Linked DNA regions of Nothobranchius furzeri. The protein of the gene in region 4 purifies or fractionates together with the protein of the main gene of each other region. This does not show direct contact. Links are inferred from orthologs where the notes say so. Each region holds a gene or a part of one and is shown on either strand. Other genes may lie near its edges. The genes, in order: cullin-1, cdk5, cdk1 and ccnd1.

Region 1 (7,294 bases), on a different chromosome or scaffold from region 4:
CTCCCTCGCGGAAAAGTTTATTTTTGTTGTTTTGTTCCTCTGAAGCGTTTTGGATCAGTTAGGAAGTTCAGCTGCTGGTCACTAAGGTTTTATCACTGGTGTGTTACAGTAACAAAAATGCCCCGAAATCCCAGAATAGATCAGCACCGTAGCGGCGCGCAGCCGCCAGCTCCACGGCCAGCTGCACCGTCAGCCCAAAGGAAGTTCAGGAAACATCAGAATGAATTCCTGTCGGCGTTCCCAGTGTGAGTCAGCCGGAGTATTAACCCCAGCTCATGGAAAACAACAGTAACTGTCTGGCTTAGTGACGCAGACACGAGGATTTATCACCACAGGGTTTACAGCTGCAGCCAGGTCAGGGGTCAAAGGTCATCAGGAACCAGAACCGGTGTCTCAGCTTCCTGTCCTTCCCTGGAGTCTGGGACTGGCATCAGCACCTGCTGCTGCTAAATATAACACACACGCACGCACGCGCACACACACACACACACACTGCATAAATGAGCAGTTAATCTCATCAGTAACGTATGAAGTCTTGGATTATGTTCCTGCTGCAGCTGTTTCCTCTCAGATTAAAGTACAGCGTTATGCTATAATCCCGGCCATCGTTACCTGCTCTGTTTACCTGTGGGATGAAATGACCTGGTTCAGGTGTGAGCTCTAAACATCAGCTGCTAGCAAAGAAGTGGAATAATCTGAGTTTAGCTGAGTGACATGAGGGTGGGGGCAGGGTCAGAGGCAGGGAAACCTGTGGAACTCGCCTGGTTACACTCGATTCGTCACATGATTCATGTGTTTCATCTCTCAGGTCCCCTGGTGAAGACGGCACCACCCAGGGGTGTGGAGTGGGACTGCATCTTCTCACAGCCAACAGCCTCCTGAAGCTCTTCTGCTGTTGCCAGATGGACCTGGACCTGTAGGGCAGCAGCGAGTCAGGACTGAAATCAGCCGAGGAGCGGAGCGGCGCGGCGCGGGAGCAGGAAGGGCAGAGGAGAGGACGAGGGGCTCCACCATGTCGTCCAACAGGGGACAGAACCCTCATGGACTGAAACAGATCGGTCTGGACCAGATCTGGGATGACCTGCGGGCTGGAATCCAGCAGGTGTACACGCGGCAGAGCATGGCCAAGGCCCGCTACATGGAGCTCTACACGTATCCTGCCGGGCCTCCACCCAAACCCAGTTGCATAGTGGTTCTGTTTGTTTACAGTAGTGTCACACCAGGCTCAGAGGGAATAAAACAAACATCAGGAATGTTTCAGAGATCCCAATCCGTGTCCCCGACGGTCCCGACCCGCAGAGGGACGGACTGGTCCAAAAGTGGTTCTACAGCCGTTTACGTGTTTAATCTGCACCAGAACGTTCTCGCAGCGTTAAACCGTGAAGCACCTTTAAAGCTGCTCTGGACAATAAATGAGTTTGAAACATGTTTTCATGCCTCTAACAGCGTTCCAGCGGAGTAGCTATACAAACGTCGTCATGGAGATAAAAACAAAGTGGTCCTCTCACTGTGTCTAAAAACCTCCACCAACTACACGACTCGGACCAAAACCAACCACCCACCCGGGTCCCTGGGTCCTCCACTCATCACCACAGGTGGAAAGAGTACTCAAAGTTCCTACTTAAGTACGAGTACTAATACTTTGATAATTTTTTACTCAAGTAAAAGTAAAAAGTATCGTAAACAAAATGTACTCAAAGTAACATTTTTGTCAGCGTACATCTACATCCAAGTAGTGCTAATTCACAACGCCAGTTCACAATTCACTCGTGTGTCTGCGCGCGCACACACACACAGCAGCATGTTAGAATCATGTGAATGACTAATTTAACTACACTGAACTACTTTAGTAATAATTTAATCTCTTATTCTGGAGTAAAATAAAGAAACAAGCTAAATCATCACATATCTGTGGCATCAAGGAGCATCTTCTGAGTTCAAACACAGGGATGGAGCACAATGTTTACACCTGAACAGTATCAGGATGTTTTAACTCACAGAGGCCTGCAGGTATCCTGTTTTATGAGCAGAGCGCTGAGAATCTGCTTGTTAGGAGCGCTAAACGTTATTTTGCCGCTGCCGTGCGGAGCGGTAGGGAAACACGTTTCTAACACGGAACCGAGTCCGGCTACCGAACCGAGCAGAATTGTGACCGAGCAGAATTGTGATGACGTCACACCGGTGCGTGAAGGTGCGGTTCCAACCCAGAGAGGAGGTGAACAGCGCGTGGATCACAGGGACTGAACCGATGTTTTAGAGCAGAAGTGTACCCCCCCCACCCCCGGTTTAGAGGCGGTGCTCATGCAGGTGTCTCTCTCCGTTCCGACGCTGCTACACGTAATATTTTTAATTTATTAAGCCTATAATTCATTTTTACTCAGTAACGGATATGATTTAAAATTTAGCGAATTACAATTCTTTTTTAAAAACGTACTCAAGTAAAAGTACAGATTTTAAAAACGACTTAAAAATTATAAATATACAAAAAAACTACTCAATTACAGTAACGTGAGTAAATGTAATTCATTACTTTCCACCTCTGCTCATCACACTCACGTATTCAGCAGCACACCGCAGGTGTGTAAGGTCCTCCACTCAACAACACCAGAGTAGGAGAAACAGCCGCTGCTACCGCTTCAGCTGTGGGACAAACTACCAGAGTCCCAAAGAGAAAAACAGACAACAAAAGTCGTTTGGACCTAGAAAGCGGTGACTGGTGTTTAGCGCTATCTCGCTTCCTCCAGCATCGCAGGTTTCTGGTTGGCGGACGCGGATCCAGGGAAGATACCTGAGGGTGGGGGGGCGTGTCTGCTTGTTCTGTAGATTTGCTAAAGTAGCTCTAGGTTTGAGCTGTGACCAGAACCTGAACCAGAAACCAGAAGTTTAGTAAACGTAACAGGTTATTATAAAGTCTCAGATTTTCAGAATAAAACCAGATCAGAACTGAGTTTATGGTAGAAACTAAACAGCTGTGTGGTACTTCCTGTCTGCGTCCTGGTTTGTCTAAAACTAGGAAGCAATCACTTCAGCAGGTTTTATTTATTGGTTCTTTAACCCGTAGAGACACGACGTTTAACACCTTCATAACCATCCCGTTCCTCACCTGTAGAGACCCACAGAGTTCCTGAACTGCTCCTCAGACATGTATATAACTATTGCACCAGCGTCCACCAGTCCAGCCAGGTCAGAGGCCCCTTGGCTCCAGCCAAGCCCTCCAAGAAGTCCACCACCCCGGGAGGGGCTCAGTTTGTGGGGCTGGAGCTCTACAAGCGACTCAAAGAGTTCCTGAAGAACTACCTGACCAGCCTGCTGAAGGTCCGTCCAGCCTGACGCTCGTCACGATATCGAGCTGCAGCTCACTGGTCTAACTGCTGCGTGTCCCTGCAGGATGGCGAGGACCTGATGGACGAGTGTGTGCTGAAGTTCTACACCCAGCAGTGGGAGGACTACCGCTTCTCCAGTAAGGTCCTAAACGGGATCTGCGCCTACCTCAACCGCCACTGGGTCCGACGGGAGTGTGACGAGGGCCGCAAGGGCATCTACGAGATCTACTCGGTAAGGTCAAAGGTCACCCACACCCTGTGTGTGTCAGTGAAGATCTGATAGCCGACCTGCCAACCTGTACTTATTTTACGTAGCAAATGCGCAACATCTAAATACGCCCGTACGACTCACCCCTCTAAAGTACGCCAAAAGCTGCAGGCACGTGAGTTCTGTAGCGGATGTGCACGCCTGGTGCTCATGTCTGCAACACGACGCAGCAGCCTGGCGAAGAAGTTTTAGCCAATCGTCGTAGAAACGCAGGAAGAATATTTTTGCCTAAGCTGTAGCGTAACACCCCCGCCCCTCCTGGACCAGAGTCTACATTAGCAGCTAAACCCAGAACAGACGGCTGGTAAATGTAAAACCCTCAGCAGGTCAGTGGAAGTCCAAACAAGGCAACTTTCTTCTGTGAGTTTGGATTCTCGTGTCGGCAACATGTTTTTCAGTCCTTCAGGTTTATAAACGGCTACGTTTAGTTCAGGAGTTTATTTTGGTCACCCATCAAATAAAACGTTTTATAACTAGAGCAGATTAAAGATGCAGGAAGTAGAAAAATGAGCTGGAATAAACCTTTCCATATTAGAAACTAGAAAGGGAACTAATTCAGTTTAACATCCGGTGAGCGGGAACATTACAGCGTGGAAAACAACGGAGTTGCAACGGTCTGCAAAAACCGCTGCACATGTGGTACTCAAAGATTATTACAAGGTTGGCAGGTCTGTGATGGGTTTAGGTACAATCAGTAAAGTTCACTAATGAGGGAATACAAATCCTCTCTTATAATAAAACAGCAGTTTCCTGATCCTCCCCCTACTGGTGGAAAGTGGAATTACAATGGTCTTAAACAACCCTGCAGTTGCCTGATGTAGCTAGCGCTAACAACGAGCTAACAGATCCACACTGTTGGACAAAAGTATTACTTACAGGTCCTGTAGCAACAAGGCCAGGTCACCATCAGTCTGTGATGTCATTGCCACGAGACTAGCGTAGGTCATGCCGATGTTCACTCTGGTTTTAGCTCTTTGCTTCACCTCCGCAGACATTACTCTCACTTCCAGCCTCCGCAACGATGCCGACAGAGAATGCAAACTTCTCCTTCTTGTGCTTTTTATTGACGATCGATGAATTGAAAAGGCTAACTGCTAGCCTGTTAGTAGCTACCCACATAGATAAAGGCTAAATGCTAGCCTGTTAGTAGCTACCCACATAGATAAAGGCTAAATGCTAGCCTGTTAGTAGCTGCCCACGTAGATAAAGGCTAACTGCTAGCCTGTTAGTAGCTACCCACGTAGATAAAGGCTAACTGCTAGCCTGTTAGTAGCTACCCACATAGATAAAGGCTAACTGCTAGCCTGTTAGGAGCTACCCACGTAGATAAAGGCTAACTGCTAGCCTGTTAGTAGCTACCCACGTAGATAAAGGCTAACTGCTAGCCTGTTAGCCTTTATCTACGTGGGTAGCTACTAACTGCTAGCCTGTTAGTAGCTACCCACATAGATAAAGGCTAACTGCTAGCCTGTTAGTAGCTACCCACGTAGATAAAGGCTAACTGCTAGCCTGTTAGCCTTTATCTACGTGGGTAGCTACTAACTGCTAGCCTGTTAGTAGCTACCCACATAGATAAAGGCTAACTGCTAGCCTGTTAGTAGCTACCCACGTAGATAAAGGCTAACTGCTAGCCTGTTAGTAGCTACCCACATAGATAAAGGCTAACTGCTAGCCTGTTAGTAGCTACCCACGTAGATAAAGGCTAACATCCGTTAAGCTAGGACCCTGACCCGCACCACCAAACTGTTTCTGGGCGACAGACGGCGTCCCACATGAGGCTGGTAAACACACACACACACACTGACCTCTGACCTCATGTTTCTGCAGCTGGCTCTGGTCACGTGGAGGGAGTGTTTATTCCGACCGCTCAACAAACAGGTGAGTCTTCTAGACGAGTCGGAGATGAATCAGCTGTTATTTCTAAACGTTAACCCCCCCCCCCACACCACCACCACCACCAGGTAACAAACGCCGTTCTGAAGCTGATCGAGCGCGAGCGGAACGGAGAGACCATCAACACCCGACTGATCAGCGGAGTCGTCCAGTCCTACGGTGGGTCTTCTGGGTCGGGTCAGAACTTCCTGGGTTTCATTTATTCATCAGGTTTTTACCTTCATTCTGGGTCGAGTTCTGCTGCTCAGAAATGGGTCGGGTTTCAGCAGAACTTAGTCTCTGTGTGGGCCAAAGTGAGGGTTAAACTTGTGGTTCTGCTGGTTCTGGTCTGTCCTCCAGTGGAGTTGGGTCTGAACGAGGAGGACGCCTTCGCCAAAGGTCCCACGCTCTCCGTCTACAAGGAATACTTTGAGTGTCAGTTCCTCACCGACACGGAGCGCTTCTACACCCGGGAGAGCACCGAGTTCCTGCAGCAGAACCCGGTCACCGAGTACATGAAGAAGGTGAGCCCCTGCAGACGTCTGGAGGTGAGCGGGTTCTGGTGTCCTGGTTCCGTCTAAGCGAGTCTGCTGGTTCCTCAGGCAGAGGCCCGTCTCCTGGAGGAGCAGCGCCGCGTTCAGGTCTACCTCCACGAGTCCACGCAGGACGAGCTGGCCCGGAAGTGCGAGCAGGTCCTCATCGAGAAGCACCTGGAGATCTTCCACACAGAGTTCCAGAACCTGCTGGATGCCGACAAGAACGAAGGTGAGGCTGGGAAACATCATCAGAGATTTTTGTGTTTAATGGGTTCTGGTTCCGTCCGCTCCAGATCTGGGTCGGATGTACAACCTGGTGTCGCGGATCACCGACGGTCTCGGAGAACTGAAGAAACTTCTGGAGACTCACATCCACAACCAGGGCCTGGCCGCCATCGAGAAGTGTGGAGAGGCTGCGCTCAACGTACGCAAACACTTTGTGAACCATCGGGACCCGACAGAACCTGTAGGACCAGGAGTTCTTTTATGGATCGGTTCAGAAAAGCTGCTTTTGTCTTTCAGGACCCAAAAGTTTATGTCCAGACGACCCTGGATGTCCATAAGAAGTACAACGCCCTCGTCATGTCCGCCTTCAACAATGATGCTGGCTTTGTGGCGGCCCTCGATAAGGTCAGAGTTCACCCAGAACCAGAACCTGTAAGGGAATGGGTCTGGACCCGCGGGGCAGAACCATCTGAGGGTTTGTGTGTCTCCTCAGGCGTGCGGTCGCTTCATCAACAACAATGCCGTCACCAGGATGGCCCAGTCCTCCAGCAAGTCCCCAGAGCTGCTGGCCCGGTACTGCGACTCTCTGCTGAAGAAGAGGTGAGACGGGAAACCACATAAACGGGCCGAGTCAGAACCAGAACCTGCTACTGAGGAGCTCCAACATCTAAACTCGACTTTATGTTCTGATTCCTCAGCTCCAAAAACCCAGAGGAGGCAGAACTGGAGGACACGCTCAACCAAGTGGTAAGACCCGGTCCGGTCCAGTTCAGAACTCTGGGTCCAGTAGTGTTTAAAGGAAACTCAGTTTGGCTGAAAACTGAAACAGGAAGTGTGTCTCTAACTAAACGGAACCGCAACCTTTCAGAATAAAGTTCTGGACCATGTGAGAGACGGAAGCTGCTCCTCTGATCCCATTGTGGTTCTGATAAAAACCCAGAAGCTCTGGTTTTAGTGGGTTTGTCTGACAAAAAGCTGAATTGGACCGGTTCTGTCTCCTCCAGATGGTTGTGTTCAAGTACATCGAAGACAAAGATGTTTTCCAGAAGTTCTACGCTAAGATGTTGGCC
Region 2 (7,946 bases), on a different chromosome or scaffold from region 4:
TCCCCTTGGGGTGATTACAAGAGGAGATTTCCCTTTCCTGAGTGATGGAGGAGGAGGAAATGATTTCTGATTCACAAGAGGACGTGAGGAAGCATAAGTTAGCATAATTTAAAGCATCAACGGTGTCACTGATTTCACTTAAGCAGGCATAAATAATCCTTCAGCTACTGTTGAGAGTAATTGAGCTGAAACTTAAAATACATATTTGGCTAAATAAATTCTCCTCATCAGCTAAAAAGCCACTGTGCTTACTGCACCTGAACTTCCCATGCATTCTTATACATCTGGATTTTATTTTGTACAAAGTAAAAGAATTGCATGAGATAAAACTGCAGTTGTAATTATTAGCTAATAGTAATCAAATTACTAAAGTAGATAAAATATGAATATTTAACCATTTACACACAAATAATGACTTATAAAAACTTTACCTTTCACATTCACAAGTGGAAAAAAATAACAAACCTGCAAATATGCACCCGGCTGACCACATGTCGATGGAGGTAGAATAAAGTTTAGCGCCAAATAAGACATCTGGAGGTCGATACCACAACGTCACCACCTGCAGAGACGTTAGCAGCATTACAACAGCCCAGTGTTTTGGTGCTTTTTGAGGTGAATCCAACTTGAAGTTCCCGCAGCACCGTTAACCTACACCCACCTCCATTTTAACTCAAGCGTTGGTGCATTTGACCAAATTGCTGCATTGCCGGCTATTTTACATTTATTCCTCCAAGTTTTGGAAAACACTGTCACCTGAAGTGCAGTAGAAGTCCAAATTATGATGCATTAACAGAACAGTGTGTGGGCTGGCTGGTTTTCAGCAACAAAGGATCAAAAGTTCTCACAGCGATGCTGATGTTAATGATGTGGCCACCTGTTACTGAAACAGCATTTTGTACATGAATGAACTGAACGTGTCACTGAGGTAAAGGAACACCCTGTAGAAAAACAAAAAGCTTCACAGAAGGTGCAAGATTTCTCCTGAAACAGCTGTGCTTGTTTATACTACCGAGTTTGTTTAAAACTGACAGAAGTAACTTTTGGTGTTTAACTTCAAGCTGCAGAAGAATTCTTTAGAAGTTTTGCTAAAAGGTTTGAAGAAATAGGATAAATAATGAGTAAAGAAGTCCCGGTCCCAACATATAAAAAACTATGGAACTAGGACTGGGACAATATTACATTAAACTTGTACTTAGTTTTGTAACTTGTAATATGTTTTGTAACTATGACGTTGTAGAATGTAATTTTCATTTTGTAACATGTAAAGCCGGGGGTACACTGTGCGACTTTTTCACTCGCAGCGTTCAGCTTCAGCTCAAACTGTACGACTTCCTCGCAGAGCAGATCTCACGAGTCGTGTGCTCACACTGTACGACCCAGTTCTCGCATGCGATCTGACTGCTCACACTGTACGTCTGGTAGCAACACGTCGGCCCTAAAAATGTGCTAAAAATAGCAGTTTTTACTCAACACGTCAGACTTTTTTGTCTTGCCTGTTGTCCTTCGGGAGTGCTGCAGGAGGACACACAGAGACTTATGGGGGTTGAATGAGGAAAATGAAATAAAGAAAGTGAATCTGTGTTTTGTGATCAGTTTAATTTGACATGAACACGACAAACACGCTTTCTTGACAATCTTTGTGAGTAAAAAAAACGTGTAGAAACAAAAACGAACAGCGTGTGTTATTAGGGAAATAGCGAGCGACCGGCCGGCGTTGATGCAGGATTGCGCGCGCATGCGCCGTGAGCGGTTCTGATACTTTTTTGGATCGTAGCTGCTCGCAGCTGCTCGCAGCGCTGCTTCAACAGTGCGATACCCTCACGAGGGATGAGCAAAATATTAAACACACCAGAAGTCCCTGCGACCTCACGACTGCTGATCGGCGGCTGGTCACGTGGTGTTAATCGCCTCTCGTAACCCCCTGCACACTACACGACCGCTCGGCGCAAAACTCGCCCCGATGTCGTGGATTCTCGCACGACTGGAAAATCGGCTCAAAAAAGTGAAAAAGTCGCACAGTGTACGCCCGGCTTAACTTCGGTACATACCATGAAACTTTCATTTTGCAACTTGCAGAAAACAATGTACAAATTTCAAATTACAACTTTCAACACACAAATCTCAGTCTAGTTACAAAACTCAAGTCTACAAATACAAAACATTTAGGAACAATTCTAGCTTGCAGGAAACAGGAATTTTATTTGAAAAGGAATCCAAGACTCATGATTGGCTGGTCAGACAAAGCCTGTCATTGGTTCTTTGGGAAGGAAGCTAGAATTTGGACAAAATGTTTTGTACTTGTAGACTGAGATTTGTGTGTTGAAAGTTGTAATTTGAAATTTGTACATTGATTGTTTTCTGCAAGTTACAAAATAAAAGTTACAGTTACAAAACATGTTACAGGTTACAAAGCTGGGTACAAGTTACATATTGTCTCAATTCCAGTTCCATAAAAAACCTCCAACCTCCATAAATATGCAGGAATCTCAGCTAGACTTGATTGAACACAAGAAAAACTTCCCAACTCTTTGTAAATGTTGCATATAAAAATAATTTGTCACATTTTGTCAAACAGAGGTATGATCTTTTTGTTTTCTGAAATAAAACAATCTTATAAATGACCTAATTTCAAACTCTCAGTGTTTTAAGTTTTCAGTTTGCCACATTTCTACATTGTAGTGTCACTCTGGTTGAGCCTTTCATACATAAAAGCTTGGTCCTGAGGTCAGTCTTATCATTTTTTCAGATAATAAACAAATTTCTAAAATTTCACGTCCCTCTGAACAACCCACTTAACATTTATATGCACACAGAGGGACACAGATCTGTCTTTGTTGCTCAGTTTAATGTCAAACATAGTGTGAAAGCAACCCACACATATTTCTATGTGTACTACATTTTAGTTAATTTCTAGATTTTAAATCTCACTTGTATAAAAAATTGCAAATAAAATCATCTTGGCTTCTCTCTTGCAACAGATTCAGAAATTTCCCCTACTTTTAAAAAAAAAATTCTAATGTCCAACTTACCTCTGCTGAGTAACATCTGACAGGAATGCCGAAGGCTCGAGCCAACCCAAAATCAGCTAGCTTCAGTTCTCCGTTCTACAGATGAAGAAACAATTTATACATTTCTTTATTAATCCCACCACCAGCACAGCATTTAGCTGTGGTTCTTTAATGAACATTGAATTCAGCATTGCGTAACAAAAAGAGCATAATTCCTGATTTGATACTTACTCTGTTGATGAGGAGATTCTGGGGCTTCAGATCTCTATGAAGAACATTTCGACTGTGACAGAAAGCAAGGCCTTTCAGCAGTTGGTACATGAACGACTGCAGAGGGAATTCAAGAATAGAAGTTAAATTTAGTAACAATCAATTTAACCTGTAACTATCAAGGCAACCAGGTGTCATGTCTCATGTCACCTTTACAGTTTCTGGATCTAGATCGCCATTACAGCTGTCAAAATACTTCTTCAAGTCCTATATTGGACAAGAAAACACACTTTAGCAACATAATGTCTATATTAAAAGGAGGGGGAATATTTGGAAAACTAGTAACTAACCTGATCACAATATTCAAAAACCAAGGTTAACTTCTTGTCACTGTGCAGCACATCATGTAGTCTGGAGAGAAAAACAATCAGATGATTCATTTTGGCATCAAGTTATTATTTTAATGCTGCTTTTTAACTCCTCTGGGTAAACAGACCTGACGATGTTCTTATGCTTTAATTCCTTAAGAAGACATATTTCTCTCAAAGCTGAACTTGGCACTCCCTGAAAAACACCTATCTGGGTTAGCACTAGCAAGCTAAACATTAGCGTCTATCTATATTTTAGTATACCAACCTCGTCGTCGTCGTCCAGCCTGACCCGTTTCAACGCCACTATTTCGTGGGTTTCTCTATTTTTTGCCTTGAAGACGGTCCCATATGTACCTACAAAATAAATAATGTCCAGTTGTCACAAACCGGATGAATGCCAAAGCAGCTAGTTAGCTATTTATTTACATACCCACCACTAGCCTGTTACTGGCACCGTGAAATTTATAGGAATCGGCTTACGTTTATAAAGCAAACTCACGCAGATTTGCATTAAATTTAAGTACTATGCATATGAATAACAAAATATATAGCATATACACAAGTCTAATTCAGCAAGCCCTGAGCTAGCATTGATGCTATGTTAGCGTTTACTTCAGCAAGCTAATATTGCCCCAAATAAACTCACCCTCTCCGATTTTTTCAAGCTTTTCATATTTCTGCATGTTCTGTGAGTGAAACGAGCCTTGATGAAGCTTGCAAACAAATGAAGGACAAAACCCCGAGCCTGGGGTGGCTAGAATATTGCAGAAGCTAACGCCGATACTAGGCTCAGTGAGTCAGTGTTCTGTTTAGACCGCAACAACAGGTGCGCTCTTGGCTGACACCTAGAGGGCAAAATATGAACTGCTGGATGCGGAAAATGTTATTTTGGAGCTTCAACAAATAAAGGCAAGATAATATTTAACTCAGTGAGAACTAAAATAAAAAGCCATTAAGTTAAGCATATTTAACGAAAGAAAAGAAGGAAAAACTGTTGTTTTAATTATCTCTGATTAATGCATCGTTATTTGATACTGACTCCATAATACCTAAGCACCATCTAATAATAGCCACTGGGAAAGTCATGTTGAACTTTAAAAGAAAAAAATCACATTTACTATAAATGACTTGCTATAAATGACAGAAATATAAAATGAACGTTTCATTTTAACTGCCACTGGGGTCAAATTAATTTTAGAATCAGAAGGATTTTATTGTCACATGTGCGAGGAATCACAACATTAGGAAATTGCTGCTCTTAGATAATAAAACCATACTAACAATTTAAGATTCATTATAGACAGATATCTGAACAAAACACTCTTAGACTGCATCCCCTCATTTGTAAGATGATCGTTTCAAATCAAATCTCTGACTGCAAATGTTCTCTTGAAAGCCATCAGGTTACATTTGTATTTTTTAAACGTTTCCCAGAGAGTCTGATTTATCCATCTAATGGAATAAACCTCATTTCAAAGTCCGATAAACCTCAGCGCTTTATTTGTTAAGCCTTGTAAACAAGATTGTAATCCTGTTTACTAAGACAGCAAATATACTAGGTGTGGTGTCTTGGTAAAGATTTTTCTTAGTGCTAGAGGATATCTGAGCTCTGTGTTTAAAGATTCACCAGTTAAAGAACATTCTGAAATAACTGAAGCATTTCAAAGGAAACGCAGAAAGCATCAAAACAGCAGTTCCCAAAAGTTAGATCACAAAAACAAGATTCAAATTTTTATACTTTAAACGGTTTAATAATGTTTTAGTTTTTAAATGTTTATGTACTATTTTTCCATACAAGATAGACAAAAACCCAGGGGCTATATTTTTATTTTAATTTATCTGCACAGTAGTGTATTTTGAAATAAACACATTGGTCCATTAATACTTAAACACAAACTGTTTAAAATGTATAGCTAAGCTGCTGCTAAACTGAAAGCAGGTAAATGTACTACACATTTGATGTTATTTAATAAACAAATGTTTTTTATATATATAACTGGTCTACTGGAAACAAACTGTTGTGTCTATTTTTGCCCCTCGGCTTTTTGTCTGCGGATCAGATCAGAGTAGAGTCCTCCTTTGCCCAGTAGTTCCAAATGTGTCCCAGCCTGCAAAGAAAGAAAACATCTTTTTTAATAAACTGAGACATTTAATCAGAGGTCAGAGTCCCTCTGCTTCCTTGGATACGCATCCTCCTCACCTCGACAACACGACCGTTGCTCATGACACAGATGAGGTCGGCGCCTTGGATGGTGCTCAGTCTGTGGGCGATGATGAGAACAGTGCGGCCTCGTGTGGCTCTGTCCAGAGCTTCCTGGACCACTCGTTCAGACTCTGCATCTAAAGCGCTGGTGGCCTCGTCCAGCACCAGTATGCTCGGGTTCTTGATCAAAGCTCGGGCAATGGCGATGCGCTGCTTCTGTCCGCCTGACAACGTCACACCTCGCTCACCTGGAGACCTGGATTTTAGAATTTACAAGCAACACAATTTCCAACCTGAACGTGACGGTTTGGATAACAAACCCACATACCGACCGTGGTGTTATAACCATCTGGGAAACTGGTAATAAAGCGGTGAGCGTTGGCTTGCTTTGCTGCACTAATGACTTCAGCATCTGTGGCGTCTGGCTTCCCAAAGCGGATGTTCTCCATGATGGAAGATCCAAACAAAACAGGTTCCTTTGAAACAGCACATGAACATAAGTTTAAACCTAAACAAAAGCTGTATATATACTCATGCTCAGATAATTAACTGATTGCACTTTCTACCTGATTAATGAATCCAATGACTTGCCCTCTGAGCCAGGACAGGTCCAGCGTTCGGATATCAAGCCCGTCCAACATGACCACACCACTTGTTGGGTCATAAAAACGTTCCAGTAAGGCAGCCACGGTGGACTTTCCTACGGGGGTTTCACATTTATCAACCAGTAATTATTCAACTTTATATTCTAACAGGAAACCAGCCAGCGTTTAAAATCACCTCCTCCAGATTCGCCGACAACTGCCACGGTTTTACAGGGCGGCAGCGTTAAGTTAAACTTCTTCAGGACTTCGTGGCCGGGTCTCGTTGGATAACTATGAACATTTTATTTAACTCATTAAATATCCTGATATTGTGTTGAAGTGTCTTGAATATTAGAGGAATTCTACCTGAATGAAATGTTCAGGAAGTCCACTCTTCCAGTCAGAGAATGATATGGGATTCGTCCTCCTCCACAGAGAAGGATGGTTGGCTGCAAAGAGAGGTACTCAAAGACCCGAGCCCCGGAGCTTATTCCTCTCACCACCTGTGAATAATGTTATAGACGGCATCAGCTTGGCTCCAAATAAAACCGAATATGATGTATAAACAATATATAGCATTAATTAGTGGTACTGACCTGTCCGAAAAGGATGGAAATACTTGCTAAGGACCTGGAAATGAATGAGATGCGTTTGTTAAAGGGATATTCCACCCCTTCATGAACTTTTATCTGTTGCCATATTCCACAGAGTTGGAATTCTCCTAATCGGGCCGCACTCCACTTGCTTTAGCTTAGCATAAACAGTGTAAGTGAATGGTAACAGCTAGCATGCTGTGGGAAAGTAATGATCCTAAATTTTCACTCTTGTCCTCTGGTGTGACATGCTCCTTGCAAACCAGATGTTGAGTTATTTTCTCCACGGGTGTTGACGGAGGAATTCCCAGGGCAGCAAGCGGTTATCTTTGTTCCACATTGGATGGAATTCTGTGAAACAAGCTGCATGTTTTTGCATCCCTTTGCTACACAAACAAGAGCCATTTTCTCGCATTAGAAATGTAACCCATTCAAACAACGGCAGTAAAAACTCAGTGCGGCTCACGCATTTGTGTTTACAGAAGCAGGTGTCTTTTGTGGCCGCTGCAACGTATCCTTGCGTCTTGCAGCGGCGGCTTGCAGCGCTGCTTTGCCATAATGTAGTCCCAAATCTAAATCGACTCCTAAAATTCCTTCATGTTACTTATTTTCATTTGCAGTTAATAAGGTTATTAAGGGTCACCAAGAAAAACTGAGGATCACTAATGAGTCATTTTTATGATGTTTTCACACAAAATGCTAGCTGCTACCATTCACTTACATTGTTTATGCTAAGCTAAAGCTAATGAAATGCTGCCATCTGGTTACAAAATGACTTTCTCCATTTTTCTAACTCTGGAGAATTTAGAAACAGGCTAAATTTCACGTAGGGGAGGAATAATATCGGTTTCCACACATTTAATAAAAATTTGAGTTGTAGACAAATCACTGTGGGAAAATTGTTGGTTTATACCTCTGAACAGTCTGAGATGCAACTAAGAAAGACATCAGGTCTCCGGGGGACATTTCATTGC
Region 3 (7,294 bases), on a different chromosome or scaffold from region 4:
CGATTAGTTATAGTCACGTGAACTATAAGTTCACTATTAAAGACGAAGTGGAACCACGCTAGAAACACAAAAGCACGCAGGAAGATCGCGCCACCAGGGATTGGATTTCTTGATGAAATCTCCGGCAAAACGCTTTAAAACTGGTGAGGAGAAGCGAGACAGTTCGAAACGGTATGAAGCAGAGAAGCGTGTGCGTAGGTGGAATGATTCTTGGCGATTTAAAGAAGACGGGAGGCGCAGAGAATGGCCGTGTTCGAGTTGAGCAGCGCCTCGCCTGGAAAACATACGAGAGCAGACGGAAGCAGCAGGGGGAGTGGCTGAAAGACGGCGTTTCGCCGGGGACACACCGGCCGCGGAAGCGCCCGAAGCGAATCGCTCACGAAGTCCGGCCGCTGCTCGCTGCTCGCCGCTCCTCAGTTCAAATCAGACGCCCCCATTCGAGGCGCGCCTCGGCTCCGCTGTGGATTTTCTTTTAACTACCTGGTGTCCTCAATTTCCTCAGCTCTTTTCCTCTACGAGTGAGTGAGTGAGTGAGTGAGTGAGTGAGTGAGTGGAGAGAGAGGGAGAGGGAGAGGAGAGGAGAGAGAGAGGGAGGAGAGAGAGAGAGAGAGAGAGAGAGAGAGAGAGAGAGAGACTATGGTGTGAACCAGTTGTTTCTGCCAGTTGAATCTCTTGGATTTTCCTACATGTGTAGCTCGGGGGTGACGATGGATGAAGATATCGCGTTAGCATTCACACTTGTTCAATTTTCAATTTTAATTCTGGTGCCTGTTAGCAGCTGAAACACATCCTCACGTGCTTGTGGATATCATATATTGTATATGAAAACATGACTGTAATAATAAGTAAAGGTTAGCAGCTGTAGGTTTAGTGTGCTCATAGGAAACGTGACAAAAGAAAACAAAACACATTTCTCTTTATGGCCTATATTGTTGTTATTATCAGCGTAACATGATTTACAGAATACATGTGACCAACTAACATTTCATGTTCTACCACCGGATGTTTGGATCAAAATATGAACCAATCAGATCTTAGATCAGGTGAGAGCCAGGCGTTTCCGTCATCCTCTAGGTTTTGCAGCCGAGGGAGAGCAGCTGCAGCGCCTTGCTCCAAAATCTGCGGCCGCCTTGATCTCACGAGGATATCGTTGCCTACGTATGCATGACGTCAGAGCAAGTCGGCGTCAATTCGGACACAAATCTAACCGGCATGCACTGCTCGCCGATCACCGCTGGTCTAACCTGCGCAGAACTGGCTCATCTCGAACACAGTCAATGGCTCGAATACAGCAAAGCGGAGTTGGTGATGTACTGCGTTGTATGCCGGAAGTATGCGACGACAAAATCGTGTTTTGTTGTGGGAACAAACAAATTCAAACTTGAATACGTTATTATGTTTGTGAATGTGTACAAAATAAAGGTTTATTACATTTAAAACGGTTCCGTTTTTATTTTGACTCGTTTTGGCAGCTGACCAGTGGGGCCGGTAGATTCTTGGTGGGGCCGGTAAATATTCAGAGTTACCGGCCCGGCTGGCCGGTTGGTTTTGAAGTTAATGTCCACCCCTGGCATCCTGGTGCAATAAGCTAAACTTTTATGAATGACACGATTAGTCGACTACTGAAATACTCATTTGTGGCCGCCCTACATTCTACCCTTTTCCGATTCAAGACCACGGTCTTGGATTTAGAGGAGCTGATTCTTATCCCAGCCGCTCCACACTCTGCGGCTGGATTTTTAACAGATTTACTTCACATAAGATTTTCTAAGTGTCTGAGAAAAGGGATGTCCGAGGACACTTGGATAATGGTCATTACAATTTCGGCTTGTGATTTGTCCAAAACTTAGAAACAATGAACCCTTAAAAGAGGAAGCACTTCCTAAGGCAGTTCAGCAGGGTGTCCAGCCTTCATGCCAAATTAACCTCTCGTTGGGAGATCAAACCAGACCTTTCAACGGAATATCATTTTAGCGGCATAAAGAACCGTCCTTTTTCAGAATCAACCAATTATTTGTTTAATCTGCAAGACAACTCATTTCTCCTAGGGAGCATCTCTTCAACCACTCGTGCGTATTCTGAGGGGTGCTACGACTCTCACAGGGTAGCTCCAGGTTTGACATAGTGACATTTAATACCTTTTCAGTAAAATTTAATGCCGGGTCCGTGGCCGGAAGTATATATCTACACTTGCGACAGAACTTTACAGCAATCCTCAGACTTGGTATATATCAGCTTTTGCCTGGGATGGGCCTATTTAATCAGCTTACTGTACTCTTTATGAGCACGTTTTTAAAAAGCACCGCCCATATCAAAGGGCCTGGTACCCAATACTCAGAGTACTCCTGACAGGGCCTCCCAGGAGACGCAGTCGAATGCCTTCTCCAAATCTACAAAACGCATTGGGATTGAATGGGCAAACCCTCACACACCCTCCAGCATCCCTCTAATGGTACAGAGCTGGTCCAGTGTTCCACCGCCAGTATGAAAATCACACTGTTCCAGCTGAATCTGAGGTTCGACAATCCCACGGACCCTCCACTCCAGAACACCCTAGCAGACCTTACAAGGGAGGTTCAGGAGTGTGAGTCCCCTGTTGTTGGTAAACACGCTGCAGTCCCCTTTCTTAAATATGGGAAACCACCACCCCAGTCTGCCGATCTAATGGAACCACCCCAGATTCAACGCGATACTGCAGAGCCTTGTCAACCAAAACAGTCCCAACTAAAATCCCTGTACTTAGCAAATATTCATCTGTGATTAATATGTTTTGGTCCCAGTTCCAATATTAGAAGTTGATCCATGCTCGACTTTCCTCCCATCCAGCTCAGGCCATTACTACATCTTAGAAGTTCAGTGTACTCTTCATCCTCACCGCTAGCAGGTCCAATCCATTCTTGTCCAGGTTCTTCACCATGGATGGTAGGTTTCCAGATTTCCACTTGGGGAATGTGTTTTTATAGTCAGGGAGGCTCTCCACGTCAGGCCACACATCATTGTTTGGGGTTCCTAGTGTCCTGGAGAAAAAAAGGGGGGACAAAATAAATGAAATGGTCTGGGCCACCTGTGGCTCAGTGGGTTGGTGGTTCAATCCCAGCCTCCCAACTACATGTCCTAATGTCCTAGGGCATTGACCAAATTTAACACCTCAATCTGTGATTGGCTGAGGGCCAGAAAAGCTCTTCAAACATTTATTTCATCATCTTCCTCTGTCAAAGCAGCCATTTCCTTTTTAGTTGGTTGTCAGCAATGAGTCTAATCAACACAAACCTGATGCTGCTACTGTAACCCCCTTACAGCCATTTACTAGCATTAGTATGTTATCATACAAGCTTCTCTCACACACCACTAACTGTTAGCAGATGGTGGGTTGGGTCCTGACCCGTGTGTTAGGACACACATCTGGAATGTTTGTCTTCTCCAAAACTCCAGCTGTTGATTGAAACACGTTTTTTCTATAAATCTTCTATGGTCTCTGGTATGAATGGCTTGTGAGATTTTCTCTGTAGGAAAAAACCCGATGCTCCTGTTTCAGGACGTAGGAGTTAGTGTGAGGTGGAAAACAGCACGATTTGTGCGAAAAGTATGGTTGCACACCTGGTGACCACAGATTCACGCTTCTATTGTTGAGCCACTGTTTCATAGCAATCCAAGATGGAGGTCGATAGAGAATGAGAAGCTCGTTATTTGTTTAACGGCATCAAAGTATTTGTTTTGTAAAGAATGTGAAACTACATAAAACCAACATCAGACTGCCCAAAAACAGGGGTGGACATTAACTTCAAAACCAACCGGCCAGCCGGGCCGGTAACTCTGAATATTTACCGGCCCCGCTGGTCAGCTGCCAAAACGAGTCAAAATAACAACTGAACAGTTTTAAATGTAATAAACCTTTATTTTGTACACATTCACAAACATAATAACGTATTCAAGTTTGAATTTGTTTGTTCCCTCAACAAAACAAGATTTTGTCGTCGCATACTTCCGGCATACAACGCAGTACATCACCAACTCCGCTTTGCTGTACTCGAGCCATTGACTGTGTTCGAGATGAGCCAGTTCTGTGCAGATTAGATCACCGGTGATCGGCGAGCAGTGCATGCCGGTTAGATTTGTGTCCAAATTGACGCCGACTTGCTCTGACGTCATGCATACGTAGGCAACGATAACCTCGTGAGATCAAGGCGGTACACATACAGGGAAGTCCAAGAGATTCAACTGGCAGAAACAACTGGTTCACACCAAAGGCGCGCGCGCTCTCTCTCTCTCTCTCTCTCGCTCTCTCTCTCGCTCACACGTAGAGGAAAAGAGCTGAGGAAATGGAGGACACCAAGTAGATAAAAGAAAAACTATAGCTGAGCCGAGGCGCGCCTCGAATGGGGCGCTTCTGAACTGAGGAGCGGCGAGCAGCGGTCGGACTTCGTGAGCGATTCGCTTCGGGCGCTTTCGCGGCCGGTGTGTCCCCGGCGTTAAACGCCGGCTTTCAGCCACTCCCCCTGCTGCTTCCGTCTGCTCTCGTCTGTGTTCCAGGCGAGGCGCTGCTCAACTCGAACACGCCCATTCTCTGCGCCTCCCGTCTTCTTTAAACCGCCAAGAATCATTCCACCTATGCACACGCTTCTCTGCTTCATACCGTTTCGAACTGTCTCGCTTCTCCTCACCAGTTTTCAAGCGTTTTGCCGGAGATTTCATCAAGAAATCCAATCCCTGTGGTGGCGCGATCTTCCTGCGTGCTTGTGTGTTTCTAGCGTGATTCCACTTCGTCTTTAATAGTGAACTTATAGTTCACGTGACAATAACTAGAATCGTGCAGTACGTGGCTAGAGGCGCGCAGGTTCACGCGCGCCAAACGAAAACGGCAGCTTCCTACAGGGCGGGGCCATGATGTAGGTGAAAGCCGGTGTGTAAATGACAAATAAGGCTTGGGCGCCACCCGGGCGGTAAGTCGTCAAGTATTTACCGCCCGACGAGAAAATGTTGCGCCATTGGCGCTCGGGCGCTTTAAAGGTCCACCCCTGCAAAAAACAACAGTTCTTGTATGTGAAGCTGTATCTGTTTGTATTAATGTGGAATTAATCCGTATATTTCCTTAGTTGTCATGTAAATACATTCATTCATTTAAAATTTTGCTTGGTGTCTTTTCAATAAAGTTTTTAGATTAATCAAAATCAAGAGCTTTTGAGGGTCACTGATTATCAGTTGACATCTTTGCTTTTATTTTACATTTCCTTTGAAAATTCAAACATATTTTCTCCAAAAAGTGTTTGTTTTTGGACTACAGGACTATACCTGCTGAGACTATAACTGTAAACTCGTTCTGATGGTCAAAATCATCAGCGTCAATGTGCTATTGGGAAGTCCCCGCTCCGAATTGCTGCAGCCACACCTGCAGCTCATCTTGGACTGAGTGTGTTTGTTCCCGTGAGGGGATAAAAGGAACGCTGGATACACGCCCGAGGAGCTACTCCTAACCCATGAGTAGTCTCCTTTTCTGCTCCGTTCTGGACACCCTGACTTTGTAGAATACGATTGTGATTACGTGCGCGTGTTTAGAGGAAAGCCTCTGCATGGTATTCTGCTTAAGCTTGAGTCAGTGGTTTGTAGTATTTAGTGCCAATTGCTTCACACTGGTATATTTGCCTGGACAGAAAACCAAGAATTCTCTGTTCTTTAAAAGGTTCGTTTTGTTTGGCTTCAGAGAGCTTTTGGCTTATAGAAACCCGTAGAAACTCGTACCAGCCTATGTAACTATTTCATTTTAAAAGCTACCTGAGATCTGTTGATTATAGTCTGTTTTCCAGCTTTTAATTAAAAGCTGTGATTTTCCTTTGGTACCTTTTTTTTCGTAGTTGGGCTGTGTCTAGTGGCATTTGTTAGAACCTCCAGCCCCAAGAACAAGTGTAAGCTGTGTAACAAAAATAATGTGTGTTTTAATTAAATAAGGAAAATATTTTTATACCCAGGTTTCTTTCTCATCTGTTCTTATCTTTTCTCTGTCCTCTTAGCATCTTAAAGTAAGGGGTAAAGCATAAGTTAAAACCTAACAAGTAGCTCAGAATAATAATAATAATCAAGTCATCAGAGTTATTGTATATTACAAGGGCTGTTGGCAGGAAGGATCTCCAGTAGCGGTCAGTGTTGCAGCCAAACTGAAGAAGCCTCTGACTGAAGACACTGCAGCGTTTCACACCGTGGTCAGTAGTCAAATCGCTTAATCCTTGCAACCATATAAGCTACCCGATTCCATTATTAAACTGGAAATTTGTTGGATATACCTGAAAATCCTGAAGAGTTGGTCTATCTCTGAGTCTCCATGGAATAGCGGCTTCTTGGTGGCAAGCTCAGCAAAAATAGTTCCAGTGCTCCAAACATCCACAGGGGTTGAGTACCTGGCTGAGCCCAAAAGGACCTCTGGAGCGCGATACCACAGAGTTACAACCTAAGGACAGCAGAGTAGTAACATAAGTAAGCTGACAGCTGTGCGCTGTCCAGGATTTATGGCTTTGGTGTGAAAGATGCTCACCTCATGGGTGTAGACCCTGACAGGAACACCAAAGGCTCGAGCCAAGCCAAAGTCTGCCAGTTTTATAACACCCTTGTTGTCAATCAGCAGGTTCTGAGGTTTCAAATCCCGGTGGAGGACTCGACGGCAGTGACAGAAATAAATTCCTTCCAAAATCTGATAAAGGTAGCTCTGGAAAGAGAAGCTTTAATGTACAACCCCATCTAAACAGGAGAACCAGGGGTCTCATTTATCAAGCTTGCTTACGCACAAAACGGGGTCGGAAAACTGCAACTTTCCACGAAAACTTAGCAGAAAAACTTATGCTCATTTTGGACATGGAGAGCACCTGCAATGCTGCTTCTGAGAAGGATACAATTATGAATTACAGCAGCATTATCACTTGTATATGCATGAGATCCACAAGGCACTTTGCATTGACCATTTATGGCAGTAAGTGGGCGTGGTGAGGGCGGGATGTGACTAAAAAGCAGCTGAGAACCTTTCTCGTTAGTCTCCGATTTATGAAGCGGAGATTGCGTGCAGCTGTGGGTACTCCATGTTTGATAGATCACAAACCTACTTGGCGTAAGTACTTTTTTTTGCAGAGCTTAAGTACAGTTGTAGTACGGATTCTACGCAATGTTTGATAAATGAGACCCCTGGGCTTTAACCCCCCTGGCGAACTAACCTTGACCAGCATGGGATCCATGTACTGGCCAGAGGGGATGGAATCCAGGTACTTCTTCAGGTCCATAGACAGGAACTCAAAAATGAGGTAGAGACGAGACT
Region 4 (7,765 bases):
GGTTCCCGACCGGAAAAGGGTGGCTTGCCAACTCCGAGTCGGAAGAGAGGTCCTACCTCAAGTGGAGGAGTTTAAGTATTTCAGGGTCTTGTTCACGAGTGAGGGTAGGAGGGATTGGGAGATCGACAGCCGGATTAGTTCGGCATCTGCAGTGATGCGGACGCTGAGCCGATCTGTCATGGTGAAGAGGGACCTGAGCCAGAAAGCCAGGCTCTCGATTTACCGGTCGATCTACGTCCCAATCCTCACCTATGGTCATGAGCTTTGGGTAATGAACGAAAGAACGAGATTGCGGATACAAGTGGCGAAATGAGTTTCCTCCATAGGGTGGCCGGGCTCAGCCTTAGAGATAGGGTTAGGAGCTACCTGGGGAGGTGTTGCGGGCATGTCCTGCCGGCAGGAGGCCCCCGGGTCGACCCAGGACACGTTGGAGAGGTTGCATCTCCAATCTGGTCCGGGAATGCCTTGGGGTCCTGGTGGAGGTGGCCGGGGAGAGGACGGTCTGGAGCTCCCTAGTTGGGATGCTGCCCCCGCGACCCAGACCCGGATAAGCGGAGGAAGACGACAACGATTTCATTCAGCACAGTGGATTAACCTGGTTCAATTGCTGAGCAGAACAAAAACAGGACATGGAGATGACTTGATGATGCCACAATGTCACACCTCTGGTATGAACTCAAGTAGAGAATAACTTCTGCTTTAGTTGTGTTGCATTGTAAGTAGAGGAAAGCAGGTGGGCTTGTGAAAGACAAAAATCTTTCCCCAACTATATTGTCAAAATAACGGTGTAGGTAGGTACAATATCATATCTGTTTCTAAATATAACGGGATATCGGCAAACCGTAGTTATGATAACTTGACTTGTACACTGAAAAAGTCTTGAAAATAATTTCAAGAATAGAGTGGGAACCCTGGTGTGTGTGTGTGTGTGTGTGTGTGTGTGTGAGCTTGTGTGTGTGTGTGTGTGTGTGTGTGTGAGAGACAGTGCGTGTGTCTGTGTGTGTGTTAGGGTTGTCACGATACTAAAATTTCAAACTCGATTCGATACTGGAAAAAACTCGATGCTCGATTTCGATACTATTTAAAAACACCAATTTATTGAACAAGTTTATTCAAAAAATAAAATTCCTCAATTTATATTGCAAAAATTAAATGTTAAGAATTAATTGTATTAAGTGCTTAAACCTTTCAAGTATCAGCATTTTTTAAAAAGTGCATACAAAAACTGGCCAAAGTTAACACTTTAAATCATGAATTGTCTCACTATATACACACTATTTGCAGAGTGATGTTTTGCTGCTTAAACTCTGTTTAAGGTGCATTTTTGTCATAAGATGTAATGCCATATGTTTTGTTCTGTACTTTTGAACAACTCTGTTGGTCAATAAAGGGAGAAAACGAATTTCTCCACAGTAGGACAAAGGTACATCTACCGGTAATCTTAATAAAAACAGATTGGCGCACAGCAGTGACGTAATTAAAAGCACCGGTTAGATTAGCCGCGGCTAGTCTGTTCACGCCTAGAAATCCTAGACCCGCTCCAAACGAACAGGGGAATCATGTTAATGATTCCTAACTAAACCTTTCGACATAGAGATGTTTTGGTGCAGATAATGTCTTATTTCAAGGCTGCACCATGGGTGCCCGTCCGCACCCGTTATATGGATATACGCTGATGGCGATTTGCCGATGGATCTAAATACCCCGGAGAATCCAAGTAGCACCAAAGTTGTCAGCGTGAGTAAACAAACGTACTGCATGCTAGAAATTAAGTCCGGGTTGCAATAAATGGGAGTTTTCCTTTAAGCACATAAGCGTGAATATACAACTACGTGTCGGACTTGGTATGCTAATGAAGTTGGGCTGTGAAGCGCCTCCCAAATTCGCTGTTTATGTTTTTGTTTATTATTTGGCAGACAAAACTTGGATCGGAGACAACTCGCGTGGGAAATTGCAATGTAGCCATGCGGCATCTTCTTCTTCTGTTTGTCTGGGAGGCGGAGGCTTCTTTACGGCATCTGGCTGTCGTGCGTGTTGGTGTACTTGAAGAAGGCTGTGTATAATAGTCCATAATATCGATACCACAGGGATGGAATATCTAATTTAGATACCACTTTTAGTATCAATTTATATCTAGGTATCGATTTTTTTGACAACACTAGTGTGTGTGTGTGTGTGTGCGTGCGTGCGTGTGTGTGTGGATCCACTCCTGAATCCTGACGTCCAGCACCCACCTGTAGCACAGAGAGCCACGAAGGTCTGGGCGTGTTTCCTGAGGATCTGCTTTGTGGACAAATGGATCTTCAGTTTGGACAGGAAGTGCTCGATGAAGTCATGAGGCGTGACTGAAGCCAGGTCCCACTTCAGCTTGTTCAGAACCAACAGCTCCATCTGCTGTGGGTGGACCAGAACAACCAATCAGACGTTAACTCAGCGTCTGCCTGCTGCTGCACCTCTCGGCCACTAGGGGTCAGTGTAGACCACCAGACAAGCCTGTCAGACGCTCCAGAAGAACACTATTTGTTCCATCTCCCACAACCTTCTGGTGGGATGGACACACGTGAGGAGAGGACAACCTTGCAGGTGAAGTGTGACGTGACCTTTGTTCTGGTTTTTGACACCTCAAAAAAGATGCTAGTGATGAAGATGAGGTTGATCTCCTCTTCTTCCTCACTGGCTTCTTTTCATGCTGGTGTTTCTGTCTCTCTCAGGCTCTCCTGTTTACTTTATTTTCTATATTAGTATTTATTGTTGGCTCTTGTGAAGAGCCTCGTGATTCTTTATCTTGATGTTTGCTAAATGAGAAACTTTTTCTTCTTCTAAACACCTGATCTGCTGGTGTGCCTGCAGCAGCCTCCCACACGGTCCTAAAGCCCTTACCAGCAGCTCTCCGGGCTGGACCGAGTTGTCCGTGTAGATGCAGAGCTTCTCCGCCGTTAACGGAACCGTCTCCTTCATCTTGGACGCCAGGAACATGCACGCGGCTCCCAGCAGTTGCAGGCGGCTCTTCCTGCTGGACTCCACGGACAGGAACCGGTCCAGGTAGTTCATGGCCAGAGGAAAGACCTCCTCCTCACACTTCTGCTCCTCACACACCTGAAGGGAGAGGAGCGGACAGGTGAGTCCTCCACACACGCACTGTCTCACACACACACACGCACGCACACACACATTCTCTCTATCTCACACACGCACACACACACTTTAATCACCAGAACTCGGTACGTTCGGACACACCGGCCCCTCGGGACCTGTTGGGTTTGGGCACGAGGCTCCTTCGCGTGCTCGGTTCGGGTCCGGACCAGACCGGTCCAGGCAGCTTGTAAAATGAATAAAAATGACCAGAATAGGACCGAGTCTTTCTGCAGACGCGTGAGAACACCGGAGACACTGAGCCGAACCTTCAGACCCATTTGGTACCCTTTCATCCTTTAAAACTGTTTTTTTTTTTTGGTCTGCCATCCTCAGCGGAGCCGTTCGGAACCAAGACAGTTTTAGACCCAGTGGAACTGAAGTTGGTCTGGTTTCTGTGGAGCCTGGTGGGTCCGGCTCGGTTCTGGCTGATGTCTGACTGGTTTTAACGGACTTTAAATCCTATCTCGTCGGTGGCAAAGATGGCGCACTGTCCGGACCTGCTGGGCCGGACTGCATACGTGTACATTACTGTGAATTCTGGAGTAAATCCGGATCGGTTCGACCTCACTGCCTTCGGTACGGCAGTCCAGACCGGGTCCAAACCGGAGCTGGATGGGGCAGCCGGATCAGAACCGGAACCATTCCCAGGGACAATCAAAACTCACCTCCAGCATCCAGGTCGCTAGGATCTTCCTCATTTTAGGAGCTATTTCCTTTTGGACGCACTTGAAGTAGTTCGGAGCCGGCAGGTAGTTCTCCTCGGCCCGCAGCATGGTTCGGAGGACCCGGTCATTCAACAGGTTCACGTCCTGGTAGGCTCTCCGGATGGAGTCCACTTCGCAGCACAGCAGCTGCTCATCCATGGTTTGGCTCGGAACACAGAGAGAACCGGTTCGGTACAAGTGTCCTGCTAGAACCGGCCCGGTGTCTTTTCTATCTGGTATTTTTGAATCCCGGTGTCAGGGCTGCTCCGTGTGCTGCTGCCCCTCTGGTGTGCGCGAGTCCTCTGAGGTCCGGACCGCCTCGCTCTGGCGAACAAAACCTCCGCGCGCACCTCCCTGCGCGCGCGTGTCTGTACGCCCACACACAAACGGCTTTTTCGCTTGGGAACAAGTAAAGGCGGGTGACGTAGGCTGTTGTTAAGGGGCGGGGCCGCGGTGGGAGGAGGTGAGATCAAAGAGAAGCGGTCTGCAAGCGCGCGAGCAGGAAGAGCCCTCCTCCCTCTAGCCCTAGGAGGAGGTGGGAGGTCTGGGACCGGGCCTCCGGGCCCAACAGGCGGCAGGGGGCGGCAGTGACCCTCCCCCTTTGTCCTGCTGCCGGTTCGGTTCGGTGTGAATGAACAGCAGAGGACACAAGGAGGAGGGGGGAGTAACTCATTCATCTCACCTTATCACGACCCAAAACTAGACCGAGTACTGGTCCAACTCTGTAGTTCTGGTACTGAGTTCCACAGAGGACCCTGGTTCTGTTCAGTTCACACCTACTGGTGGAGTTTTGGTTCTACTGGATTCTGCTAGGTTCCCTGTGAGCCCTACTGGGTTCAGATCAGCAGGAACCACATGGTCCAGAACATGTGACATCACTAAAATGAGACCTCCATTCAGAACCCTAACCCTACTAGATCCACACACACACACACACACACACACACACACACACACACACACACACACACACACACACACACACACACACACACACACACACACGCGCACACACACACACACACACACACACACACACACACACACACACACACACACACACACACACACACACACACACACACACACACACAGGGGTTGGACCAATGGGAGGACCTGCTGTTACCAGGCAGAATCCTGTTTTGGGTGATGGTGGTTGACCCAGTCCAAGTGTGAACTGGATCTTTAGACACAGATGTTCCTCTTTGAGCTGCTTTATTCAGCCAGTAGAACATATTAGTGGTGAGAGAGCTTGTTGGATCAGAACCAACTTGTTCGTGGACACAGCTGCTGTGTAAACTCAGAAGATCCAAGTCTAGTTTCAATTTGAGTCAGAGCCTTTGAGCATTCCTGGAATTCCTCTCTGGCTGCTGGATTCACTACCGTAATGCCTGAATAGAGCCTCCTCTCTGGCCACTGTCCTCAAGGCTCACTTTGTTGTTGTCAGGGTAAAGAAAACAACACAACTCCAAACAGAAACACATCATAATAAATTTAATAACAATAATACATTTTATTGTGCTTTATGTGATGACAATCTCAAAACAACAGTCTCAAAACACTCACAAAAACGTACAATGATGAAAACAGAAGTTTACACACTTTCCTGACTGCGAGTGAAGCGTCCCGGGTCGCTCTGACCAGAACCTCTCACTTTCACATTTTACTTTGGAATCTTGTTAAGATTCATATTCTGATTCATTGAAATATTGAGATGTTATGAGATCCTTTCTGATTCGCATGTGAGCTGAGATAAAACACAATCAGCCCACTGTTGTTTGGTCGCCTTTGTTCATTCATTCATAAAACTCTTCATCTGATAACCACTTTTATTATTATTATTATTATTATTAGTATAAGTAGTAGTAGTAGTAGTAAATGACAAATGATTTACACTTGTATAGCACCTTTCAGAGTCAGAGGACTCACTACAGTGTGGTAGTAGTAGTGGTAGTAGTTGTAGTATTACTTGGAAATAACTTTGCAGTGACTTCAAACAAAAAATCTCCCACCAGCTGTAGTCTGATCCTGTCCTCTTGTTTGAGTCATGTCCTCTCTGTCCCACATTCAGATCCTGTGGGAAACAAAGGGAGCTGGAGCATGTGACTTTTGAAGTGAGGCTCTTTCAGCAGCTTTATGGTAACAATAAGTAGATGGTTAAAGAGACAGTGGGAAGCCAGCAGGCAGTCTCATACTGCTGACCACATCAGTCTCTCAAATAGAAAGTAATGCCAGGGCTGCCGCATGGAGGACAAAAGTTCAGGGTTAACTGTGATAGTAGCTGCATTGTTGACTTTTGATTTCATCTTTAAAACGTTCAAAAACGTGAAAACTCACAGTGTTGTTGGCTTAAAGCACAACAAACTATGGCACAAAGGAAGGTCAGCTGTTTATTTTTTTAGCACTTTGGTCCATACTAACTTTCAGGTTAAATCAACCTCCTTGCTGAGAGTTTATATATGTATATATATATATATATATATATATATATATATATATATATATATATATATATATACATACATACATACATACATACATACATACATGTATGTGTATGTGTGCAAATCAACGGGGATAAAATGCTATTTTCTAATTCTGCTTGTTTTGTGCCGTGGATTTCACATATTATATCCGTGAATTTTAAAGATGCATTTTGATACCAAGAATGCACTTATTTTCGAATGGGGGGACAATATTTTAGGTTTTGTGTGAAAATAAGTCCAGGACTACAAATGCGCTTCACGCAAGTGACATCATCGAACCAGACACGGAGAAAGCTGAGGGAAAATGGCTGTAAGTTCAGCAAACACATAATTATTATTATTATTTATTATTATTTATATTATTATCAGCATGATCTGCATTATTATAAGTTTTTCAGCATTATTATTATTATAATTATTATTATCATCATCATAATCAGCATTATTATTATTACTATTATTATTGTTATTGTTATTAATAATTTATCATTATCAGCATTAATATTTTTATATTTATATCATTAAAATTAAATCATTTTTAGTATTTTTAATATCATTACTATTATTATTATTATTATTATTGCTAATAATAATAATACCCTTATTTTTATTATTTACTATCAGATTAATTTGTGCGTTGAGTTACTTATTTTTTGTCATACACATGAAGCCGTCATATTCTAGCTACTCACACACACATCTATGGGTGCACTAAAGCCGGGCGTACACTGTGCGACTTTTTCACTCGCAGCGTTCAGCTTCAGCTCAAACTGTACGACTTCCTCGCAGGGCAGATCTCACGAGTCATGTGCTCACACTGTACGACCCAGTTCTCGTATGTGATCTGACTGCTCACACTGTACGTCTGGTAGCAACACGTCGGCCCTAAAAATATGCTAAAAATAGCAGTTTTTACACAACACGTCAGACTTTTTGGTCTTGTTTTGCCTGTTGTCCTTCGGGAGTGCTGCAGGAGGACACACAGGGATTTATGGGGGTTGGATGAGGAAAACGAAATAAAGAAAGTAAATCTGTGTTTAGTGATCAGTTTAATTTGACATGAACACGACAAACACGCTTTCTTGACAATCTTTGTGAGTAAAAAACGTGTAGAAACAAAAACGAACAGCGTGTGTTATTAGGGAAATAGCGAGCGAGCGGCGTTGATGCAGGATTGCGCATGTGCCGTGAGCGGTTCTGATACTTTTTGGGTCGCAGCTGCTCGCAGCGCTGCTTCAACAGTGCGATACCCTCACGAGGGATGAGCAAAATATCAAACACTCCAGAAGTCCGTGCGACCTCACGACTGCTGATCGGCAGCTGGTCATGTGGTGTTAATCGCCTCTCGTAACCCCCCTGTACACTACACGACCGCTCGGCGCAAAACTCGCCCCGATGTCGTGGATTCTCGCACGACTGGAAAATCGGCTCAAAAAAGGG

What was found.
Region 1: the proteins of ccnd1 (region 4) and cullin-1 purify together in Homo sapiens (affinity purification with western blotting; 4 studies listed by BioGRID). This does not show direct contact. The link is inferred for Nothobranchius furzeri from reciprocal best matches to the Homo sapiens genes CCND1 and CUL1.
Region 2: the proteins of ccnd1 (region 4) and cdk5 purify together in Homo sapiens (co-immunoprecipitation; 4 studies listed by BioGRID and IntAct, counting the BioPlex papers as one, with this or other methods). This does not show direct contact. The link is inferred for Nothobranchius furzeri from reciprocal best matches to the Homo sapiens genes CCND1 and CDK5.
Region 3: the proteins of ccnd1 (region 4) and cdk1 purify together in Homo sapiens (affinity purification with mass spectrometry; 4 studies listed by BioGRID and IntAct, counting the BioPlex papers as one, with this or other methods). This does not show direct contact. The link is inferred for Nothobranchius furzeri from reciprocal best matches to the Homo sapiens genes CCND1 and CDK1.

What each region holds. Positions count from the first base shown.
Region 1 is NC_091747.1:63,544,355-63,551,648, forward strand, and holds part of cullin-1, read left to right. Parts: intron 1-808; 5' UTR 809-1,012; coding exon 1,013-1,152; intron 1,153-3,140; coding exon 3,141-3,315; intron 3,316-3,387; coding exon 3,388-3,555; intron 3,556-5,418; coding exon 5,419-5,469; intron 5,470-5,552; coding exon 5,553-5,643; intron 5,644-5,823; coding exon 5,824-5,987; intron 5,988-6,065; coding exon 6,066-6,228; intron 6,229-6,292; coding exon 6,293-6,423; intron 6,424-6,521; coding exon 6,522-6,629; intron 6,630-6,717; coding exon 6,718-6,824; intron 6,825-6,922; coding exon 6,923-6,971; intron 6,972-7,228; coding exon 7,229-7,294. UniProt on the Homo sapiens protein: Core component of multiple cullin-RING-based SCF (SKP1-CUL1-F-box protein) E3 ubiquitin-protein ligase complexes, which mediate the ubiquitination of proteins involved in cell cycle progression, signal transduction and transcription.
Region 2 is NC_091751.1:49,902,554-49,910,499, reverse strand, and holds the start of cdk5 (cyclin-dependent kinase 5), read right to left. Parts: upstream 4,413-7,946; 5' UTR 4,276-4,412; coding exon 4,239-4,275; intron 3,947-4,238; coding exon 3,858-3,946; intron 3,786-3,857; coding exon 3,718-3,785; intron 3,633-3,717; coding exon 3,572-3,632; intron 3,489-3,571; coding exon 3,432-3,488; intron 3,339-3,431; coding exon 3,243-3,338; intron 3,108-3,242; coding exon 3,033-3,107; intron 563-3,032; coding exon 466-562; intron 1-465. Other genes in the region: abcb8 (mitochondrial potassium channel ATP-binding subunit), read right to left, coding at 5,617-5,700, 5,793-6,043, 6,124-6,271, 6,362-6,495, 6,576-6,670, 6,746-6,882, 6,976-7,009, 7,886-7,946. UniProt on the Homo sapiens protein: Proline-directed serine/threonine-protein kinase essential for neuronal cell cycle arrest and differentiation and may be involved in apoptotic cell death in neuronal diseases by triggering abortive cell cycle re-entry. Interacts with D1 and D3-type G1 cyclins.
Region 3 is NC_091752.1:60,134,227-60,141,520, reverse strand, and holds part of cdk1 (cyclin-dependent kinase 1), read right to left. Parts: coding exon 7,194-7,294; intron 6,695-7,193; coding exon 6,524-6,694; intron 6,440-6,523; coding exon 6,276-6,439; intron 3,018-6,275; coding exon 2,876-3,017; intron 1-2,875. UniProt on the Homo sapiens protein: Plays a key role in the control of the eukaryotic cell cycle by modulating the centrosome cycle as well as mitotic onset; promotes G2-M transition via association with multiple interphase cyclins.
Region 4 is NC_091749.1:21,574,025-21,581,789, reverse strand, and holds the start of ccnd1 (G1/S-specific cyclin-D1), read right to left. Parts: upstream 4,176-7,765; 5' UTR 3,999-4,175; coding exon 3,801-3,998; intron 3,097-3,800; coding exon 2,881-3,096; intron 2,395-2,880; coding exon 2,235-2,394; intron 1-2,234. UniProt on the Homo sapiens protein: Regulatory component of the cyclin D1-CDK4 (DC) complex that phosphorylates and inhibits members of the retinoblastoma (RB) protein family including RB1 and regulates the cell-cycle during G(1)/S transition.